Drosophila melanogaster: one gene and its partner. The protein of the gene in region 1 interacts with the protein of each later gene in a pairwise test. Each region holds a gene or a part of one and is shown in the gene's direction. Other genes may lie near its edges.

Evidence for each region.
Region 2: the proteins of angel (region 1) and subdued interact in a two-hybrid assay, tested with the Drosophila melanogaster proteins (one large-scale study listed by BioGRID).

Annotation. Positions count from the first base shown.
Region 1 is NT_033778.4:23,690,257-23,697,836, forward strand, and holds angel (angel), read left to right. Parts: upstream 1-3,746; 5' UTR 3,747-3,861; coding exon 3,862-4,926; 3' UTR 4,927-4,976; downstream 4,977-7,580. Other genes in the region: CG30183 (uncharacterized protein), read right to left, coding at 635-1,267, 1,321-2,184, 2,356-2,544, 2,603-3,475, 5,024-6,009, 6,186-6,885, 6,939-7,352, 7,411-7,419.
Region 2 is NT_033777.3:19,636,986-19,645,789, reverse strand, and holds the start of subdued (subdued), read left to right. Parts: upstream 1-3,067; 5' UTR 3,068-3,374; coding exon 3,375-3,712; intron 3,713-4,561; exon of another isoform or gene 4,562-4,691; intron 4,692-4,703; exon of another isoform or gene 4,704-4,806; intron 4,807-6,376; coding exon 6,377-6,764; intron 6,765-6,820; coding exon 6,821-6,889; intron 6,890-7,039; coding exon 7,040-7,111; intron 7,112-7,362; coding exon 7,363-7,523; intron 7,524-7,595; coding exon 7,596-7,764; intron 7,765-7,818; coding exon 7,819-7,939; intron 7,940-7,998; coding exon 7,999-8,110; intron 8,111-8,171; coding exon 8,172-8,730; intron 8,731-8,787; coding exon 8,788-8,804. Other genes in the region: Nup58 (nucleoporin 58kD), read right to left, coding at 1-625; Vha13 (vacuolar H[+] ATPase 13kD subunit), read left to right, coding at 1,503-1,584, 1,952-2,052, 2,112-2,282.

The DNA of each region.
Region 1 (7,580 bases):
CACAACAAACATAACCTCAGACTCTTATGTTTTGCACTTTAATGAGCAAACAAAAACGAAATGAAAACGAAATTACAAAGCAGCTTAAATAGTACATATACTTAAATGTAATAGTTACGCGTAGGCACTAACTAGGCACGAATGTGAGGATGTGGGGACGCGAGCATGGATAACCGATTTCGCAGATAACCGGGGGCAACCAGCGCATATAACATACTTGTGTATCATATTGTAACCTATATCAAATATATAATCGTATCTGTATCTTATCAACTTATCGTAGCCCATGTAAATTATGTACGTAATAAACTGTTGTTGTTGTGACGTGAACGCCAAAAGTGAGCAGGACTCTGGGGACTCAGATGCTTCACATGGTTCAGTTTGAATGACTATATCCCGCTAAGGGAAGGGAATGTTGACTCTCATACATATGATACATAGGGCTATGAAACGGAAGTGGTAAATCTATACCTTTCTTGCTAATTTCAGACTTAAATTGAAAGGAGCGACACGTTTGCATGGCAAACAATATACAATTAGTGGAAAGATCTAAGCACAATTTAAATATAACCAAATATAAATAGAAAACTTTAACACATATAAAAATAAAAATTGTTTGGCAATGCACGAGCTGTCAAGAGGAGCCCAGCCAGTGCCTGGCGAATGCGATAGCCTCATTTAGGTGGATTAGCCATTCCGAGAGCTCCGCTTGCGTATCGGCAGCAAAGAAGACTCTCCCCGATTCGCAATCAGAATTCCTTCCTTGCAGCAGAAAACTTCTCGCCCGAGCACACAACTCCCGGGGGGCTGCAGCTATCAGGGATTGTCCGAGTCCAGGCAACTCCAGCGTGAAAATCGGGATATCACTTTCCAGATTATCCTCATGTTGCCAAACCGATAACCGAACGCCATCCAGACTGCACCATCTGCGATTCCAGTTGTGTTGGCTCTTCGGATCCTGAACATTTAGGTAGCCAGAGAAGCGGGTCTTGGGCAGCCGTAAGTCCACTCTGCCAGTAATAGATATGGCAGGTCCCAGATTCGTGGATTTGGTGTGCGTGGTCAGGGGAACTTGCCAGGAGCGTGAACTGCGCAGGCAGATTTTGTCGCTGGATCTCGACTCATTGGACACCAGTTGAAATGGCGACAGGTCCACAGCTCGCAGATGGAAAGAGGCATGTAAGCGAAAGCGCGACATGATTTGCTCACCACCAGAGCCCGCAGAACAGCTCGAGTTGGCGGAACCTAAGTTTCCGCTGCCACGACGCTGTAAGGTAACTCATTAGCGAACTGCCTCTGAGGACAACTGAAGCTACTTACCAGAGACTTGGCAGGCTCCAAGGCCAGAGTGGAAACTTTGCGCAGGCGGAGCATGAAGATTTGACAGCGCAGCTCCAAGGAGTCCGCATTTTCTCCACTGTAGAACTCCAAGCCACAGTCTCGAAAGAAGGCGGAGCCATTCTGGCACTCAACGGATTGAGTGGATCTAATGCGTCCTCCGCACTCAAAGGTGCAGATATAGTGGTAGTTGAAGAACATATCCCGGCTGACGTCCGCCCTCACTGGCAGTTCCATGGCGTCGATCAGCAGGCACTGGGATTTCCTCCGTGCAGCCAATGCTTCATCATTCAATTGGCAAACGGGTGGAGTCGATTTTCGCAAGGTAGAGAAGAGCAACAGTCGCTCCGCCTCCACCATCTCTGCAGAGATCTCCAATGTCGGCATCTGCCGACATATGCTCACAGCTTGGGCCAGCTGCTCGTTTGGGTTCAAGGAATCGTTTAGCAAGGAATCCACGTTGAAGTTGGCATAGTAGGTGCTGCTATCCAGCTCCCCATCCGTCTGATTCGATTGGTCCCTTGAGAGATTGAGGCTCTGAGCCAGGCGTTGCTTCTCCGCCAGAAAGAAGTCTTTTCCCTTGCGGTACGAACGACGAAGGGCATTCTTCAGTAGGCGGTAGCGAGCGAGAGCGCTGACTGACATCAGCTGGCTGTCACTGGGATTGGGCATCGTCTGCATCAGCTCACCCAAACTGCTGCTGTTGTGCAGGACAGTGGGATCCACTGCCTGCGAGGCCTGCGCCTGCTGTGGCGTTGTGGGGCAACTGATGCTCAGATTGTTACCAAAATGGCGCAGCGACGTGGCTTGGCCATCATTAATTTCTATGGTCAAATTGGAAGCGGGCTGAAAGATCAATCATTACTCAGTTTCAACAACAATCTTATATTTGAAGTGCGTTTCAGAAAGCGATGGATGAGTACAGTGTGGTAGTGGCTATTTACAGAATGTACAGTGTCAGAAATCAGATGCAAGCGGAAGCCTTAAGCTTTAGTGGGAGTCAACAAAAATCTCTACCTTGGTTGTAAAGCGCTGGCTCTGCTTCTTTTTCGGCGTACTCTGGTTGGCCGGCTCAGGTTCAATTTGCCCGGAGCCGTAATCGTTGGTCACGAAGGAGCTGCCGGCGCTGCCCGCTCCAACCAAACTGTAATCTGCGTAGAGCTGCTCGGGCATGTCATACGAAACGGAATCCATATTGGAAGTATTCTGTAATGGGCTTTGGCTTAGAAATGTGACAAATTGTAAAAACTGCAATGGCACTTACATTGGGCACCTTTTCTGGGCGATCCAACACCAGTTCACTGCGGCAGAGATTGTCCAAGAAGATCTCGCTGCGCTGCAGAGAGAGTTCTGAACGAGAAAGATTCCGGTTCTGCTTGGGCGGCGAATGCTGCTCACTGATATTGTTCAAGGATTGGTGGGCATGTGGCGAAGGCAACTTTAACTTCGGCTGGCGAATCACAGAGGACTCAGTGGTCTGACTAGCTGAGCACGAGGATTCCGTTCCACTCGGCTCCTCGGGCAGAGGCATGAACTGGAAGAAGTTGCCGTTCTTCAGGGATTCGTGGAGAAAGTGACCCAAAGCTACAGGCTGCTGAGGAGCAGTTGATTGTGGTGAAACCATCTGGGTGCTTAGCTGCGCTGGATTCGACTGGGTGCAGCTTTTAGGTTGTACCGCCTGATCAAGAACAATATGTGTTGTTATAGGCGGCGAAAAGGAATGAGTACTTTTCTGTGGCTGAATAGCTTGGAAACTAATCTGAGGCTTATCCACTGGCTTCATTTGCGGTGAGTTCTTCGGCGTCTTTTGCACCCTGGCGTACATGGCACTGATGTCATCGCGCGAGGTCGACGGAGCAGGCACAGACCCACTCACATACGCGGTGGAGCTTTCCGTAGGAGTCGGCGTGTGGTCTATAATCTGTGCCGCGGTCCTAACCTCGTGGTGGGGACTCCCTCTAATCCGCAGGCAGTCTTCCTCAATCTCCGAGTAAATGGGCTCGCTGTCGAAATCGCGCTGTTGCCGTGTGGTGGCCAACGATGTGGTTGCACCACTGCTGGGTCCGTCTGTGCAGTCGTAGCTCTCGGTTTGAAGATGGCTGATCTGAGGCTCATGGCGGTCAAAGCGGGAGCAGTCCTGCAATCGATTGAAATTATACTCTTATTATTGAAATACAAACCATATTAACGATATATTTATAAAAGAAGAGCCTTATTACTTGGATCAATAAACCAATGATTAACTAAATCTATTTGACCAGAAAGTTAGTAAGAACGAATCTTGCAATGCTACTTCGAGATACACTTTTTTAAATTTCGATAGACCGAGTACCGCCCCGTTATCGATATCAGCTGCAATGCAGCCCAGCGAAGGAAGGCGCAAAACAAGAAGTGAAAACAGCTGACAGCAGCAGATTTCTTTCCTCCACTCGGAAATTCAGACGCCATCCAAAAACACTAAAGAAACAAGAGGCTTTCAAGGGGACCAGGAGCTCGGGCTTATGGGGAGGCGCACCTGGTGAGATGTACAGGTCTCTGCTGCACAACGTTTCACTCAAGGCGACATCAAGGATTATCAGGCGCAGCGTGAGCAGCCAGGCAAAAGGAGCCAGCGGAAAGCGCAAACAAAAAGCGAAGGAGATGGAGTCGAGCCACGATCGGAATAGACGCTGGACGTCATTGGGGAATCAGGCTGAGGGTCGAGACCCGCACAAGTGCTCCTCCTTCAAGGTTGTCTCATATAACATCCTGGCCCAGGATCTGCTTCTGGAGCACCTCTTCCTGTACGTGGGAATCCCGCATGAGTTCCTCAGCTGGCAACGCCGCCAGCAGAACCTTCTCAGGGAACTGCTCAAACTGGATCCGGACATACTGTGCCTGCAGGAGATGCAGTTCGACCACCTTCCAGTGCTCGTCCAACGACTGCGTATGGGCAACGGCAAGAAGTTGGCTTATGTGTACAAAAAGAAGACCGGCTGTCGAACGGACGGATGCGCTATTGTCTACGACTCCTCAAAGTTTGAGTTGCTAGACCACCAAGCAGTGGAGCTGTACGACCAGGCGGTGGCTCTACTCAATCGCGACAATGTGGCCTTGTTTGCCAGGTTCCGATTCAAAAAGCAGCAGGAGCAGCAGAAGGAATTCGTGGTCGCCACCACGCACTTGCTGTTCAACACGAAACGGAGCGATGTCCGTTGCGCCCAGGTGGAAAGAATTTTGGAGGAGCTGCAGTCGTTCTCCACCGACACACCTATCGTCCTGACTGGTGACTTTAACAGTCTGCCCGACTCCTCGCCTATTGAATTCCTCGTTGGCAAGAATGGGGATGTGGATTCCACAGCTTGCCCAGAACCCCTGCATTTCGAGATCATCGATTCGGGCGAAGGTACTGCCTCCACATACCAGAACGAATGGGTTATCGTGGACTACATCCTGCGCTCGCTAGGATCGCGGAGCAGGCACAAGCTCTTGCCTCTCAGCGTCTACTCACTGCCCTCAATCAACCGGTGCATCGGGGCGGGACAGATCCCCAATTACCGTCTGGGGTCGGATCACTACGCCTTGGGTGCAGTATTCACCGTTGTCTAGTATTTAATCTCTTCATGCTTTCTTGGACTCATCAATAAAGGTACGAAATGAACATGCCCACTTATTATAAAGTAAAAGATTAAGGGAAGGGACTCACCTGAAAGGTTCTAACTGCGTGCTCATCGCTAGCCTCCAGCTTGGCCCTGATGCTGCTGAGCAGATAGCCCATTTTAGTGATGGTGACGTCCTGGTCGAGATCCTTGTGATACGAGCGATAGGTGGTGGGTGATGTTGCTGCTGCTTGAAAGTCCAGCTTGCGGGCTCTGTTTGCACGGGGCAGCTTCTTCGGAGGCGTCGGTGCCTTCACCTTGCGTTCGAAATCGAAGTACGGCTGCTCTGTGTCCAGCTGTTGGCGGGTGGATGTGGTCGTACCCGAGGGCGTGGTCTGCATGGGGGAGTGGTAGCTTCCCGGCGGAGACTGTGACTGCAGGTCCAGCTGCGAGGTAGATGTCTGTACGCCAATGGTGCACTGCTGGGGAGTGAATCTGTGCTGATCCAGCTGCGTGTGCACCTCCTGATTAGACTTCTTCGGCGAGACGAAGCGCAGGATCTTCTTTTTGGAGTTGTTCAGAAAGTTCTTGGACTTCTTTCCAAGGTTCTTCGGTTTGTTACCCTTCCAAGGAGATAGATTGCGCCACTGCTCGCTCCAGATGAACTTCTGGCTAGCCTGACCTCCTGCCGTGTTAACTCGACTGGGATACTTGATGGGCGTCTCCTTGTGCACCATATTTGATGCCAGGTTCTCGGAAACACTTCCGTCAACAGTGTCCAAGGAAACCTTTGGCACTACGGGCTGTGGCTGTGCTTTAGGCATTTGCCATCCAATGGCTACTTGCGGTTCCGCCGGTGTCCTAAACTCGCTGGCTGTCTTGCCCTCGTAGTTGAGCATATCGGTGATCTTGGGCTCTGTCCAGCCAAGAATAACCTCCTTGGTGGGCGCTCCTTTCCGCCTACTCTCCTGCCGAATATTCCGGTCGTAATTTGAGCCCCGCTTGGATTCCACTACGCGCTCAATGTCACTGAGCGAGGGGCAGGTGGGCAGTTGCTTGTTGCTCCTGGGATGCCTGGGCTTCTCTACCTCAGCTAAAGAAAGACGCAAAGCTCGTAAAAACATCGAAAACCAAGGAACCAATTAATGAAACCGTAAGCCAAATGTTTGGATACAAAACACTTTATTTGGTAAATACATTTGATTTTTGGTAAAAATAGTTTCTATTTGGTTACGGTTTCATTTTCTAGGGCTTACGGGTATAACTTACCCATGGGGAACGATCTGCGCTTGCTGTCTTTTTTGAGCGATGGTTCCAGCTTGCTCGTAGGCACCTGAACGCCACGTTTGCGCAGAAACTCGTCCAGCACTCGCTCGGCCTCCCGCACCGAAGGATTCGTGGAGGTGAGCGAGGATTGCGATAGCTTCCCGTCCAGACTTTGGGAGCTGCGACGCGGCGGCTTCGGAGGCGGCAGCTGCGAGTTCCGTGCCTTGAAGCTGACTTGACCCTGCGAGAGGCGCTTCTGCAGCAGGCGTCCACCTGCTCCGGAACTGCGTCGAGAGCGGGAACTCCTGCGACTTGGCGGCTCGGTGGCCAGCTCTTCTTTCTCCTGATCTTCCTCCACAGCGGATTCCTGTTCGCTGATGTTAGACAAAACAGGAGCTGAGGGCTTATAGGCTATGGGCTCATAGGAAAGCATTTTAGTAGGCTCTCTCTGTGTGCTCCTGTGCCGGCACCTGGAGCTAGAATCTGACAGTTTGTGGCGGTTCACGCGCACTTCGGACACCACACAGTTGTCGTGCAGCTCCTGGATGATGTGTATAAGCGGTTCATCCTCGCCGGCCACGGCTCTCAAGCGACTGACAGCAGTTAAGGGAGTTTTCAAGCCAGAATTTATGCTGGCCGGCTCGCTTCGACGAAGTTTCTCCGCCTGCTGCCGCTGGCTACCGAGATTGTTCTGCTTGGCGGGCTGTAAAATGTGAGTTTAATGAGGGAACTGTAGCGGGCTGGTTAGTGGCTTACCTTGGCGCTCTCAGATCGCCTGCTGCGCCTTGGTAGTCGCACGTGCTGGTCACGTGGCGGTGCCGTGGAGCCGCAGTCTCCGCTGTCGCTGGTGAAGCAGTAGCAGAAGCCGTTCTGGCACGGCTTCCCCTTGCGCTCCTGCTCCTTGTTGCAGCGATTCTGGTTGATTAGGTCCGCATCCGTGGTTCTGCGGACTCGGGGAAGTTGTCGGGACATGTTGATGTGGTTATTGTTGGTCTCGCAGTCGCGACTTTGAGTGGACACACGGCGAATGCGGCGTGCCCTAAACTCGTCGATGCACTCCTGCAAACTGAACGACGATGTGGAACCAGACTCGGCGGAATCCTCCTCCTCCTCCTCCCCCTCTTCTTCATCAACTAGAACATGTTTGGAGAACTTTGAGCCTACAAAAGTCTGGAGGCCAATATGCTGTTCATTTGCACTTGTGATTAAATAGCGATTTAATGCTTACGGTGGCCATTTTGCAGTCTATGTATTTATGGAGCTGATTAGACCAGCTGCATGTGCTCCACTTTTACACGTTGCACGCTTTCTACTCCGCTTCTACTTCGTGTTTTTCCAATCAAATGAAAAGCGACGCCTCGCCTGCATTTTTGTTTTCCGCTTTGTGCCGCTTCTTCT
Region 2 (8,804 bases), on another chromosome or scaffold:
CAGCTGCCGCCGTTGTGGCGGTGGTGCCGAATCCAAAGGCCGGCGGCGCGGTGGTCGGCGCACTTGTGGCCGGGGTGGCAAAGGAGAAAGTGGGAGCCACAGTGCCCACGGCTGGTGCAGGTGCTCCGAAGGCCGATGCTTGCGTGGAAGCTGGCGCTCCAAACGCCGTTGTGGCTGCTGGTGCTCCAAAGGCGGATGTAGCGGCGGGTGCTCCAAAAGCGGGCGTGGCGGCGGGTGCTCCGAAAGCGGGAGTGGCAGCTGCAGCTCCAAAAGCGGGCGTAGCAGCTGGAGCTCCAAAAGCCGACGTTGCTGCTGGTATGCCAAAAGCGGGCGTGGCAGCAGCCGTTCCAAAAGCCGGCGCCGCAGTGGAAGTGGCGCCAAAACCAGGCGTGGACGCAGGTGCTCCAAAAGCCGGCGTAGCAGCTGGTGCCCCAAAGGCCGGTGTGGCCGCGGGAGCTGCAAACAAGGAGGTGGTGGCCGGAGCAGCACCGAAGGTTGGCGTAGAGGTGGCTGCTCCAAAGGATGGAGGCGGAGCAGTCGTCGTCGCCGGTCGCGCGCCAAAAGCAAAAGCGCCGGTAGCAGCAGTGGCGCCTCCAATGGCGTTGTTCGTGGTGGGCGTAAACATCTTTAGGCACCCCTCTTAAGGATTTATACAGGAATTTTAAACAATTAAACTATATTTACTGCAACAAATTTCGAAATTAATTTTGTTTAATGCCTGAGCATCTGTGGTTTAACTTCTAGGACAGAGATGACACTATCGGTGATATCGATAGCTAGTCAGCAGAGATTTATTCGGAAAAATATCAACAAAGTATTCAAATTGATTGAAATAAATACACTATGGCTAAAGATATATAAAGTATTTGCAGCTTCATATAGTTACGATTTGTGATTTTCAAATATTTAATTTTGGTCTGAGGTGTGGTGAGTTCGGTCCACTACAACATGGTTGTTATTTAATATCAAACGATAGCCTTCAGATATTAATATGAATAAATTATTTCAAAATTTAATCTTTATGTATTTCAATTTTAAAATAATATAAAGAATTTTTTACGAACTAATTTCTTACAATAGCTTTAAATACAGCCGGAACTATTACAGTGCGAAGCAGATTAAACGCTGCATTTAAATTAAAATGAATTAAAGTTTACAAAATTATAAAAGAAAAATATTCATGATGGGAATAAATGAGAAAGTTAATGCTTACAAAAACGTCAAATTATTTAATACTTCTGGCCAATACAATACCAAACAATAATATACAACTAAGCTAATCGATATGCAATCGACCGAGCCATCTCCAAGAGTTTCGCAGCACCCAGCTTTCCGGCACACTGCTTACCCACACCAACTAGCCACCGTGGTGAGTTTGCGTGTGTGTGACTTCGTCATATGACATTTTTCACAGTTCGTCGTCGATTGTGATTCTGTCGCACTTGCTTTTTTCGACTTGCACAGTATACACCACGGCGAGGAATTAGAGAAGTTTGGAAATTATGGCCAGCCAGACGCAGGGAATCCAGCAGTTGCTCGCTGCCGAGAAAAAGGCAGCCGAGAAGGTCGCCGAGGCTCGTAAACGTAAGTTTCATTTTCAGAAACAAAAATCCAATTGGAAATGGCAGGGCGACAAGTAACTGCGATTTTTTCACCACCCCGCCCCCGTGCTACCATAACCACCATCACCGTTGTGTGTGGGTCACATGATGTGGTGGAAAAAAGTAAATACAAGTCAATCCTCCATAACTCGAGATATAAATCAAATTAAACTAAATTAAATTAAATTAAATTAAATTAAAATTGTTTGTGGCCACTAAGACTGCAACTTAAGTGCAGTAAATAGTTTTTGTGCGAGTTGGCACTTTAAGTTATGGAAGGTCATCTTGCGGAGGGCTGATTTGCCAAGTTGAACTGATATGATCATCTGGATTTCTGGGTAATCCCGCAGGCAAGGCAAGGAGGTTGAAGCAAGCCAAGGACGAGGCTACCGAGGAGATCGAGAAGTTCCGCCAGGAGCGCGAGCGCGCCTTCAAGGAGTTCGAGGCCAAGGTAAGACGCCACATAGGGAAACTTATGTACATGTAATACCGTGTGAACCCCGATTACAGCACATGGGCAGTCGCGAGGGCGTGGCGGCCAAGATCGATGCGGATATCCGCGTTAAGCTGGCCGACATGGACCGGGCCATCCAGACCCGCAAGGACCCGTTCATCCTGGAGATCCTGCAGTACGTGTACAACATCTCGCCCGAGGTGCACAAAAACTACAACCACAAGTAAAGAGGTGGCCCCCCAAACTGTGCGCTGTAAATTCAATGTCCACGTTCAACTCTAATCCATAATTTAGACCCGTAATAATAGTGGTTAATCTAACTGGAAACACTGCTGTATTATTATTCCATACATTAAAGTGAAAATTCGTTGTTGTTCCATGTAGAAAAAAGCGAGCATATTAGTTTGCCTCCCACTCGCGCGGGATTGTATTATCATTGTTTTGTGTTCTGCCCAATACACGTTGTTGTTTTATCCGAAAAGTCATGTGTTTCAATTGTTTTCCTCACTTTCTTCCTGCTCGCATTTTTCATATCTGCACTGCAGTCAGCTGCTGCGTGATAAGATTTTTGCGGCGAGTTCATTTCATCGGTGCTCAACACTGGCGATGGCGATAGTCACGCCTCTGGGTGCTTAAAAAATTCAATTTTAAGATTAATCCGCTTAATTATATAGTGTATAGACTCGGCATAAAATAAAATGTACAATGTAAAGCAATTTTATGTTTTCTCTTTTAATGGATTGTTGTCTCAGGCAATCGTCTAACAACCAAATGGTTTCCCTAAGTAGTACGATTGACATATGCTTGGAAATTGATTACCGTTGTACTCTAACCAACACAATACGACAAAAATATAATTTGATAACATTATATTCCAGTTCCGCAGATAATTACGAACTCATTGAATCTGTCCAACTTTGAGTTGTTATCAAGCTTACCACTTTTAAGCTGCGCGCTCAGTTATCGATATATTATCGAGAACCGACTGGCACTTGCCCACCATCTGAGCACTTTGTTAGTTTGTTACAGAACATTGGTAGAAACGGTTTTTCGCTCTGTTGTCGCTCGCTAAATCAGCGAAAATTAATTCATTCATAATTATAAAATAATAAATGAGTGTAAAGTGCAATAGGAGGGTGTGATATTAGTAGTACTAGTTTAATGAACGGCAAAGATGAAAGTTGATTGCTAAATTTCTGGCCACCAACGCACACAGATGCAGATGCCTTGTGAAAGCACCGCAGAAGAGGAAGAGCGAAAAAGAAGAGAGAATGCGATTTAGCGAAACTGACTAAATTTAGGAATTTCTCAGAAACAAGATGCTAAATTTAGGCAGTGCCAAAGTTGGCGCTCTGGAGGAGGCCACCTCACCACCCCCCTTCTCCAAGGACGAGAGCTTCCAGCTGTTGGAGCGGAGCCCCCACAATCCCGCCATATCACCCACCACCACTGTCCCGCTGGAGCCCCCCTTCACCACCCCCCTAGCTCCCTTCGACATGGAGCTGATGAAGCGCCACAATCTCCACGAGCGCTTAACGGGAAAGGAGAGCTTCTGGCGCGGGCGCGACACTTCGCAGAGATTTCTGGACCAGGAGCAATTATCAGCATCGCGTGAATCACTCGGTGCCGCCGACAAGAGAGCCCGGTTTGCAGAAAGGTTAGTAAGCCCACTTTTATTCTTTATTCACTTTATTCCAAATTCAGACCATTTTGGGCCGAGGAAGTAACCATTAAAGTTAATTGCAGCCGACTGCTTTTGTTGTCAGTTTTCTGTAATTGAGTTTTTACTTGTGCGGAATACAGGGTGTCTAGCAATTTAACTGATAGTTACCAATAAATCCAGCTATATATTTAAATAATTAATTCATAGACATTTTAAGATCATAAGCTTAAAATCATAGAAACAGAAAAAAAGTACCCAATGTTTAAGCACCCTGTATATCTTATCTTTCATTAAGGTAGAGCAATAGCTGAAAAAGTACATTTGCCTAAACAACACATGAAGTGCGATTCTTTGTACATATACTCCAAATATTTGGTTTGATTGTTCACATCTGTCTTAAATCTGCTGAGCAATCATTTCAGTTGTTTAGTGACTCACGATTGTTAGGAGGTGAGTCCCAACAGACCATTTAATATTCAATTGCAACTATTATTGTTGCAATCGAGCTAATATGATTTCTCAGTCTGTACTTGGCATCGTTCCAATTTCTTATCATACACAGCGAAAAGAGACTTTCCCAGCGGGAAATTGGAAATAAACGCTCTGCTCTCGTTTAATTAGACAAAAAGATACCGATTATCTTTTATTTACGCTTAAACTCGCATATGTGTGTGTAGGTGTAATGCACTTGACATCCGAATGATCAATTGGAAAAACATGTGCTCAAAACTCTCTCGAGAGTAAAACAGCTGACTGGGGGGATGTATATAACGGTGCTGTTGGTAGCTGCGGGGGGACGGGGGCCACCGGCAAAAAAACCCAGCTGGTTTGCCTCTCATTTCTCAGTTTGTTGTCTTCGCTGCTGCGCGTTGGTTGTCGTCTCTCAGTTCGCTCCAAACAAATTCGTCGGTTGCCATGGCTAACATTTGTAGACTTTAATTCAGTGTTTATTAATTATCTGCTCGGACAAGAGGTGAAAATTTCCATCATAAGTTTTTCCGCGATAATTGCGATTAGGTTCTGTAAACTTTGTAAACCGAAACGAGCCGATCACCTTTCAAGGAAACGGGTTTTTCTGCCATTATTCCGTGTGTATTGTAGCATTAATCATCGTTTCGAAAAAGCAAAAGACAATATTTTCTTTATGTGTGTCGCGTATCTCGCATCGTTTTTTGAGCACCTCAAGTATTGCGATCTTGTGGGATGAATAAGCCTTCGATGTACATATACATATAATGCCTATTTGATCGGTGGCATTTTAGCAGGAACATCTAAATTATATAAGTGATTTTAGCAGCCAATGCAAAAATATATCAGAAAACAAACGCAACACATGTTTCATAAATTAATGTCTCTCTCACTCTCTTGGCCTTGATTAAACCAAATGCCGAAAATTTAAAACGTGTGGGCCTACAAAGCAAACAGCCATTATATGTAAATTTTAATTATGTTTTTGATGAAAGAAGCTGAAGATAATTTCGAGTTGTGCGAAGGCCAAAGAAGTGTAAAAATGCTTAATGAACCAAACGAACAATAATACAAAAAAAAACGTAGCAACAAAAGAGGGGAATAACAAGATTTATGATTAGAAGTTAATCATAAGGGGGGGGGGGGGTTAAGTTAACGTTTCCCCTATCTATAAGTTGAGTTTCAATATTACTATATACTAACATAGATAGCTTGCTTACAATATTTTAGCATTATCCATAGAATTGGCAAGCATATTTAAAGAGGAAAATACGATTGTAATGCTGCTGATAACAAAATTAACTTCATAAGTTCAAATCCAGACTGTATGCTTGATTGCTTATCAGTTGAATAAATTATTCTTTCATTACTTTTACTCATTTGCTCTGTGCACTTTTAATGAAACCCGACAGAGGAGATTGCTCGGCCCTATTGCACTTTGAAGCTTTAAGTATTCTACATCGATTAAAGGCTGTGAATCATTAGATATTTCTCATCTAGATCACATCACATGAAGCTGCTTTTTAGCAAACAAATACCAAATGTTTGTATGTAATGAGAGAAGTGTTTGTTAAAGTTTCTAGATGATTTTCAACTTAAGGCTAAATTGAACTAAAGATAAACCGAGCATATGCTGAGATTTCTTCGTTCCTACACTTAATTACTTGGATTAACGGAGCAAACGTTAACTGAGGTCATCTTGTGCGTTTCCTTCCCGTCGCAAAGAGGTATTATTTATCGTTAAATTCCCGTGGCTTTGGCTCTCCCAGGAGGTGACCTATATATGTTATTGGTGTTTTAATGGGATGTGCGTCCCATTAGGACCTTTCCGCACGACAGGCGTCGCCAGTCGGGAATTAAACGTGTTTTGCTCCCGTTTACTCGCTTCAAATTGTATCACATTAAGTTTTCCGCCTGAAAGCATTTCGAGTTAGTCGTGACTTGCGATTATTTCATATTTCTAGTTTAAGGAATGGGGGTACCTTGTGAAAACAATAATTTGATACCATTACAACTTGACACATGTTAAGAAGGTTCATAGAATAGGTTTATTTACTTTACATTATACTAAAAAGTATCTTTACTATACCTAAATATCGCTTAAGTATGTCTGCGATGTGTTTCAGCCGAAAGTTTATCTACCTAGCTAAATACGATAATTAACCTTATCTGCCACTGTCTATCGTATAGCAACGCCCCCACGCTCCAACTGCCAGAATCTGCCGAGCCCAGGGCCAATGGCAAAAGACCCACTGGGAACAGGACCAACCCATCGAATCCAGCCGCTCCCCTTCTGCCAATGACTGATCCGGATTTTGTGAAGGGCAATGTAGGCGGCGTCTACGATGATCGCGAGTGCAGCTGCCCCAGGGAGTTCTACCAGCGGGGCGAGATTAACACATCACTGTTCTTTGAGGACTGCGTCCGGTCCATTGACTTTGTCCTGGCCTACAGGATCAATGCGCACGAGCCCACGGAGCTGGAGAACACGGAAAAGCGTCGTGTTTTCGAGGCGAATCTCATTAGTCAGGGGCTGGAGGTCGAGTCCAGTCAGAAGGACCAGATCTGGTTCGTTAAGGTAAGTTTGCAGTGCTTAATCAACTTGTATAGTGTTTTCATATATATTGATTTTAGATCCACGCTCCTTTGGAGGTCCTGCGACGGTATGCGGAAATTCTTAAGCTGCGCATGCCCATGAAGGAGGTAAGTAAACATACTTTTAAATGCTAAGCTAAAGCCAAAATTATAGCATTCTTTTAGGCCTTATTCAAAAATTAAAAGTTCCCGAAAATGTAATTTATTCATTTATGATTTAATTTTAATTTAAATCATTTTATATTTTGTATGTTTTAGTCGTTATGCAATTTACGCATATCTGAAAGATCGAATCGCCTACGAAATGCGGCCCATTACTTGACCAATAAGGTTGGCCAAAGCGTTGAAGTTAAACCAGTTAAATATTTTATTATTAATCCCCTAAAAATAATCTTAGATTATCATATTTCGTTTAGCTTCCGCTGTGAGTTGTTTGAAATCGAACTAAAATACCCAGCCTAACCTTGATAGATTTTGTATAAAGAAAATGTAACTTAGAACAAGCCAGCTTGAATGTTAACACAAAATTATTAAAATTAGTTTCTAAATACCATTTACACTTGAACTTTCAATGCCTTTAGATTCCAGGAATGTCCGTGGTCAATCGATCGACCAAAAGCGTGTTTTCTAGTCTTAAACATGTTTTCCAATTCTTTCTGCGCAACATTTATGTGGACGAGGAAATTTTTCCAAAGCGAGCTCATCGATTCACTGCCATTTACAGTCGCGATAAGGAGTATCTGTGAGTTCAAAATAATTTCTATATAAAAATTATCGTGCCTATTTACTTATTAATTTTCTTATCGGCCGGTAGCTTTGACATCCGACAGGATTGTTTCTTTACCACCGCCGTCCGTTCCCGCATCGTTGAGTTCATCCTAGATCGCCAGCGATTTCCTGCCAAGAATCAACATGACATGGCCTTCGGTATTGAGCGACTGATTGCCGAGGGTGTCTACTCTGCTGCCTATCCACTCCATGATGTAATTGATTGACTCTATGCTAAATTGTTCAACTAAACTATGTATTTATCACAGGGTGAAATAACCGAGACGGGAACCATGAGAGCTCTGCTGTACAAACATTGGGCCTCTGTGCCCAAATGGTATCGCTATCAGCCCTTGGATGACATCAAGGAATACTTCGGTGTCAAAATTGGTGAGATCATATAATAGAAAATTAAATAATATTTTCTAACGTATAAATATCAATTTTAGGCTTGTACTTCGCCTGGCTGGGCTACTACACCTACATGTTGCTGCTGGCCTCAATAGTGGGTGTCATTTGTTTCCTATATTCATGGTTCTCCCTTAAAAACTATGTGCCTGTGTAAGTTTATATTTAAATAATCCTCCATATAAAATGAAATCTAATTAAATATTATCTCTAGGAAAGATATTTGCCAGAGCGGTAATACAAACATAACCATGTGTCCTCTTTGTGATTGGTGCAACTTTTGGGACCTGAAAGAGACCTGCAACTATGCCAAAGTCACGTACCTCATTGACAATCCCAGCACCGTGTTCTTCGCCGTTTTTATGTCCTTTTGGGCCACCCTATTTCTGGAGCTGTGGAAGCGGTACTCCGCCGAAATAACGCATCGTTGGGATCTGACGGGATTCGATGTGCATGAAGAGCATCCGAGGCCACAATATCTGGCGCGTTTGGAGCACATACCACCGACGAGAGTGGATTATGTGACCAATATAAAAGAGCCAACGGTTCCCTTTTGGCGTATGAAACTTCCCGCCACCGTGTTCAGCTTTTCAGTGGTACTGCTCCTAATTGCACTGGCCTTTGTGGCACTGCTGGCAGTGGTTGTATACCGAATGTCCATGCTGGCCGCCCTTAAAGTGGGTGCTAGTCCCATGACCACCTCTAGCGCTATTGTCCTAGCCACTGCATCAGCTGCCTTTGTAAATCTGTGCCTGCTCTATATACTTAATTATGTAAGCAAATGGTTTCGTTTAGTTAGATCGATTTACAAATACCACATTTCTTTTTAGATGTACAATCATTTGGC